2 linked regions of the Saccharomyces cerevisiae S288C genome follow. Changing the gene in region 2 together with the main gene of any one other region gives a genetic interaction. Each region holds a gene or a part of one and is shown on either strand. Other genes may lie near its edges.

The links. Genes that interact genetically often act in the same process or in processes that back each other up.
Region 1: mutations in SRO7 (region 2) and SYS1 together harm fitness more than expected from each alone (negative genetic interaction), as found in Saccharomyces cerevisiae (5 studies listed by BioGRID).

Annotation. Positions count from the first base shown.
Region 1 is NC_001142.9:430,928-434,014, reverse strand, and holds SYS1 (Sys1p), read left to right. Parts: upstream 1-1,814; coding exon 1,815-2,426; downstream 2,427-3,087. Other genes in the region: dolichyl-diphosphooligosaccharide--protein glycotransferase subunit OST1, read left to right, coding at 1-794; COX16 (Cox16p), read right to left, coding at 1,015-1,371; CYR1 (adenylate cyclase), read right to left, coding at 2,778-3,087. UniProt on the Saccharomyces cerevisiae protein: Necessary for the targeting of ARL3 to the Golgi. Involved in protein trafficking. May serve as a receptor for acetylated ARL3.
Region 2 is NC_001148.4:632,280-636,040, reverse strand, and holds the start of SRO7 (Rab GTPase-binding protein SRO7), read right to left. Parts: upstream 1,919-3,761; coding exon 1-1,918. Other genes in the region: NTO1 (Nto1p), read right to left, coding at 2,280-3,761. UniProt on the Saccharomyces cerevisiae protein: Acts as an allosteric regulator of polarized exocytosis by promoting the targeted fusion of vesicles with the plasma membrane.

The sequences.
Region 1 (3,087 bases), on a different chromosome or scaffold from region 2:
GATTTTCTTCAAACGAAACCTTAGCAATTGTTTATTCCCACAATGCCCCATTGAATCAGGTAGTGAATTTGAGAAGAGATATTTGGCTTTCTCATTGGGCTTCCACAATACAATTTGAGGAATATTATGAATTAACAAACAAAGCCGCAAAACTGTCTAAAGGATTTTCAAGATTAGAATTAATGAAACAGATTCAAACTCAGAATATGAGACAAACTCACTTTGTTACTGTCTTAGACATGCTCCTGCCTGAGGGAGCTACTGATCATTATTTCACTGATTTGGTTGGCCTTGTTTCCACGTCGCATGCAGAACGTGACCATTTCTTTATAAGACCAAGATTCCCAATCTTTGGAGGTTGGAACTACAATTTTACTGTCGGTTGGACTAATAAATTGTCCGATTTCTTGCATGTATCCTCTGGCTCAGACGAGAAATTCGTTGCTTCTATCCCAATTCTAAACGGCCCACCGGACACTGTATATGATAATGTTGAATTATCGGTATTTCTTCCGGAAGGGGCCGAAATATTCGATATTGATTCTCCAGTCCCTTTTACAAATGTTTCTATAGAAACCCAGAAATCATACTTTGACCTAAATAAAGGTCACGTTAAATTAACTTTCAGTTACAGAAATTTGATTAGTCAAGTTGCCAATGGCCAAGTCTTGATAAAGTACGACTACCCGAAAAGCTCTTTTTTCAAGAAGCCTCTGTCTATTGCTTGCTATATTTTCACCGCACTAATGGGAGTTTTTGTCTTAAAAACTTTGAACATGAACGTAACTAACTGAGTTCACGTTTGAATGATATATACCTTATGATGCAGAGCAATAAATTCAGTATTTAATTTTTTATAAGTTTTATAGATAAGAATTTTCCAATGAATAAAGGTATTTACAATCATTTCCTAGACATTCTCGTGGTCTTTTCTTTGCACAATCAATGGTCATAGTTTTTTTTGTTTAGTAGTTTAAGGACAGAAGAATAACAAAGATGTTCACGTTTTGAATGTTACCAGACATTCTCAGATTCATCCTTTAACCTAGCGACGCGCACAGGCTCCCAATCCTCTTCAGAAAGACCTTGTAAACGATAATATTCTTCTTTAATATCAAATTCCCTTTGATTCTTCCTTATTTTCAAGATATCCTCTTCATTAATTTCCTGAACTTTACGATCGCCTTGCTCGTACTTGATCGCTGTAAAGCTTGACAACCAAAACGAACCCAATACTATTGTTGCACAAAATGGTAAACCAAAAAAAAGAAAGGGGTGCTTACTCAATGCTTTTTTGTATCGCCCCGCTAAAGATGCTTCATATACTAGCTGCTGTCTTCTAGACCTAAATTTTTTTCCGCTGAACGACATTTAGGAGACAAATTCTGGTAATATTTCAGTTGTTGACTAATATATATAGTGGTTTTTGCCAAAATTAAAGACTTCCTTTTATTAACTAGGTGACCAGATATAAGGAAGTGTATTTGCTTTCTAATAACTTGTGTACGGCCATAACCCGGCTTTTAATCAGTTTATTTAACAAGGTATACAAATCGCCAAACGTAACAAGAGATAGGCGCTATTATTCATTTAATATTGTCGTATTCAAAATACTAACGGTGAACAATTTGCTCCATTGTAACACTATAGGACAAGGCTAATCATGAATAAATATCTCCCCACCCAAAATATTCGTAGCTCGCGATATTCACGGTAATATTCTGTAACTTCATGTTAAGAGATGATCTTTAGGAAGGCTAAGGAAGGGTACACATAGAAGTGAGATAAAAAATAGGCATTTGAATTACTGTAACATGGTTTCGATAAGAAGGTATTTGCGAGTGCCGAATGAGTTGAAACCTTCCCAGATCTTCAAACAAGATTCTCTCTCTCCAAGTAAGATTGGACTTCAAATTGTTCTTTTACAGATTTTTTATTACACCACAGCGATCGTTCTTTTTTATTGTTGGGCGAAGCTAGCGGGATATGATCTCAATATCAAGGAATGGCTGTTTTCTTGGGAGAATATCGACTTTACGAACGCATACGGTTTATCAATCTCACTGTTATGGCTTCTGGATTCATTAATATGTGTTTTTTTCTTAACTGTTATCGTTGGACGGAGTAAACTCGCATGGGATTTTGCTATCACTATACATGCCATCAATTTTATTGTGGTGTTCCTCTATACTCGGAAATTTCCTTCTTTTTCTTGGTTTTTTCTTCAAATTTTATCATCTTTAATACTAATATTTTTGGGGACATGGACAACAAGATGGAGAGAGCTTAGAGACACCTTTTTTGAGGGCTTGGTTGATCCTAATGAAGGAGAAGTTGGATTGGTTACGCCTAGTCAGCAGCATAGTAATCATTCAGAATTGGAGCAATCACCAATACAACTAAAAGACTTAGAAAGCCAAATATGAGAGGAGATGAAACAACATATTCGAGGCAATTTTGGCAATATTATAGTCATTCAAGAGAAAACAGTAAATGTATGAAAAATGGCAAGAACCTTATCTCTATAGGCTTAATAAATCTGCCTTTTTGGCCAATTTTTCAAAACAGATCCTATTTCTTATTTATACACAATCTATATTTAACATAATTAAGTACGTGATGACATTGAAGATAATAATAAGTAAAGAGTTTACGTACTTAAATTTTATATAGTTTTAGTATACTTGCAATGTGTGAATGGATCTAGTAAGCTGAGGTACTTCTCTAGCGTGAATATGAAACGAGTAACAGGGTGGTACATAATTTACGAACAGAACTCAAGTTGATAAATCCTTTGCGTTCTTAACCATTTGTAAAAGTTCGTCAACAACATTGAAAATATTGCTTCGAGCAGATGTTTTATCGTTTCTGCAAATTTCCAGTCCTGAACACCTCTGTTGTCGTAAATGTAATAATGCCACACTGGATTCGATTCTAGTAATTACATGATCAAAAAATAACAACGCATCCTTCTCAGAAATCGATTGCATAATACCATTTTCAACTTTAGGGTTAAATTTAATATAACTTCCCTCCGTCCGAGAGTCTAGTTCAATAAATCCGCCGCTTAAAGCTGACATTATAGAT
Region 2 (3,761 bases):
CAGATGTTTTCCCTTTGTTGGCATGCACGGCAGTTGATGGCATAAATCCCTGCCTAACACCGGTAGGTGCCCTGTCTCTCACATCGACGAGAACACCATTCGTATTATTCAAAGAAAACCGCCTGAAATTCATCTCCAGGTCACCGCTTTCTGGTCTGTTCTCAACACTGTAAAACTGGTTTACTTCATATTTGAATAAAACAACGTCTCCTGTTTCAATTGACACCGCCAACTCGAGAGTCTCTGCGGCAAAAGATATCTTATCAACTGCTAGTTCTTTGGCCTTGTTCAACGTTCTTGATAGATTCACTTCAAAGCTAGCATTATCTTGTATATCCCCATGGGAAGCATCGTATATCCTAACTGAGCCATTAGAATGGCCGGTAATGAATGCTGTACCGTACTCAGCGGGAAGTTTTTGCCTTTTTGTTCTAACCCCTCCCTTCAACAAATAATCCTTGTTTTGAGCTGCAGAAAGCGCACCAAGCCATAATTTGTTTGGTACAGAAGCGGCCATTGAAGTCGTGGCTAATGGTCTCAGCCAGGAAAGATTTTGAGGGAATAAAGAGGCTTTATCTGTAAATATTCCAGAAGGATATAGCATTGTTTCTATCTCACCGTTACCTAGGATTAACAAAATTAACCCCGGATTATGACATCCTGCAAAATACGGGGACTGTCTTGGAATTGGTAGTATATTCACTATTGGCACATTGGTTGGTAAGGGAAATATCTTCATTTGTTTCGGATTTGCATAGTAGTTCTTCATACCTTCATAAGAGGTTATTGAATATCTAGGTGTGTAACCGAGGTCGATCATAGTGAGACTTTGATTATCTCCTCTGCTGATTGACTTATGAGAGATGAGTAGTGAAGTATATTCTGGATTGTTTTCACACATCCAATACACTTTCGAAATTTTGGCAGCATTAGTACTAGAATCGCGTATGTAATCAGGTTGTGGAACATTGATTTCTGTCTCAAACACTGTCCTTGCCATGATCATATGGCCTGAATTAGCATCCCAGAAAACCAAGGAATTGTCTTCATGAATAGTGATAATGTGCAGTGAATTAGGGTGATATAAGGACTGAATAACTTTGGGAGTTCTCTTTTCATTGGTTTTTTCTGAGAAGTCGCCTCCTGGAGCAAAAGGTGGTAATTCGTATATGAAGGATTGTTTGATTTCGTTCTCAACCAATGAGTATGTTAGAGTTACATACTCATATGATATTAAAACAGTTCCAATATCTCTAGGGTTCCACTGAATGGATACTATAGGTGATAGTCTTGCAGCCGGAAAAAATGAGCTTTTTTGTAGGTTGTCTAATTTGAAGGAGGAAAGTTGATCCCTATCTATGTCGTAAACTATCATTGAACCATTTTGAAGGCCGATTAGCATCCAGTCTAAGGATGCATCTGTGTCAATTGATGTTATTTTCCCCGGAACAAACACTGTTGTAAGTACTTTTTGAGAATATAACGATAAAACATACACAGTATCTTTTGCGTTAATGACCACCAAATAGATACCTTTCACAAATCTCATTTCTTTTATAGCAGATCTATCCTCCAGTTTTATAACCACTTCCACTTGTTGCTGGCCATAAATATGGACTTCCCCTGTGACTGTAGCAATTGCCAATAAATTTTGGGTGAAATCGAAAGCGGCTGCGATCGGTTTACTGCTCATCCCATATTTGTTGGTTTCTGCTAGTGAAAAAATTTTATTTTTGTTATTTGAACTTATAGGAATCTTCAAAGAAGAGGAAGATTTCGCATCTTTGGAAATAGTAGATGTCTTTGAATTTTTGGATTTAAAAGACGCCTTTGAGTTCTCAATGGGTGTCTCTGAATTTTGGCCTTTTAGGGACTTAAATGCTTCCTTAACATTTTTCAGACGTTTGCTACCGAACATTTTGTTTTGCTCTTATGTGTATAGAGAATTAGTCAGAAATAGTATTGCTTGCTCTTCTTGTTTTATATTTAACATATTCCAAGATTTAAATTCTAACGTGATTAGGTTCATTTCGTTTGAATTTTCATTTTTTACTTTTAACAAAAGCGCCGAACAGGATTCTAGAAATTAAACAAAACCAACTAAACTATAAAAACGGATATTTAGTTCGGTATTGAAATGCTAAAGAATAAAGAAAAGACGACCTTTCTAAGTTATTTTTACTAAGTGTTCCATGAAAGTAAATAATAAGCCAAACTTTTACAAGAATAGCATAAAAATACATACTCATTATACATAATGCAATATTAAAACCTTTATTTTATCCGCTGTTAAGGATTAGCTTCAGCATACGGTGTTCCCCTGCACTCAGTTCTTCTGCATCGCTTAAACCTTCTTCTTCCATAATCACCGGGCCACTCCATGGTCTTTCTTCTATCTTGTCATCATTTATTATAAAATCTCTGGATAGCAACTTCTTAATATCTACATGTTCTATGAGCCCAATTAAATTTGTTACTTGCTCTTTTGCCTTTGATGAGACAGTTTGGAGTATTCTTGATGCACCGGGTAGAGTTTCCAAAACCTCAAAAAAATGCATAATTTCCTCCTTAAAAATTTGGACAGTATCAAAATCACAATGTTTACACTTTTCTAAAATAACCAATAATTTAGGTTCAGTAACCAATCTTTCAAGAGCCTTGAATTGTTCAGATTTTATAAAGATATCCAGTACATTGATTTTTAAAAGATATTTTTGGGGCGATTTAACTATATCAAAAACCTTCTTTCGGGATCTGGACAAGCTGTTTGAAGCTTGTGTTCTCTTTTTCACCAAAGTAGTCAGCTCTTTGAGCCGGTACAAGTCTTCGAGCTGATCATTGGCAAAATCTATTCTTGTTTGCACTTGTTCCTCGGTTAAGGACCCCAATGAATTATTTTCAAAACAGGCAGTTAATGGGGTACCTCCTGTAAGCTCCCTTTTCATTGACCAATATTTGCAAATATCAAATGCGCCTGCTGGTGGGTTAGCTAAGCCAAAAAAATCAACGACCTTTTGCAATATTTCAGCAAAAACATGTGGTGCTACCGGCGTTTGATTAGGTGTTTTCCAAATTGTTTTGTTGAATTTTGAATTTGTCCTATCATTAGCTTCATTATGCTGAGGAGTTTCGGTTTGTAATGTAGAGAGTAGAGAGAAGTATTTTCTAGCTTTATTAATACCTTCTATACTCGTTTGCCATCCTCTAGGTGCATGCTTGTGGCAGAAACTTTCGACTGAATACTTTTGGGAGAATTGATTAGAGGCCAATTCTTGAATAGTGCATTTCCCTTTACTCATGTAGAGACCAGCTCGACGGGCACACGTGACATGATATGCTGTAAAACAGTTTCTTTGAAAGCACTGAATGCAAGCACCCATCTTCTTTTTACAGATGTAGCAGTTAAGTTTCCATCGTGATACGCTAACATTTTGAACGCCTTCTATAGGTTCCATATAATGTAAGTTTGAAAAGTATAGCTCTGGAAGCCATAGAGCACAAATGTTATGTACCCAAGAACCGGTGTCTGTTTGTTTGAATGCACCTGTATGACTTGGACACATTAGACAAGTGGCAAAGTTATTTTTTGAGATCATACATCGTCTACATAACCATTTTCCTTCCGGGATAAAAATTATACCGTAACATTCTTGATGCACAGCAATATCGCATCCATCACAAAAGACAATTGTATTCAGATTGTCACTGTCTGTGCCTAAACAAACTGCACACGCCTGGTCCATCGATAAACCTGTTCCATC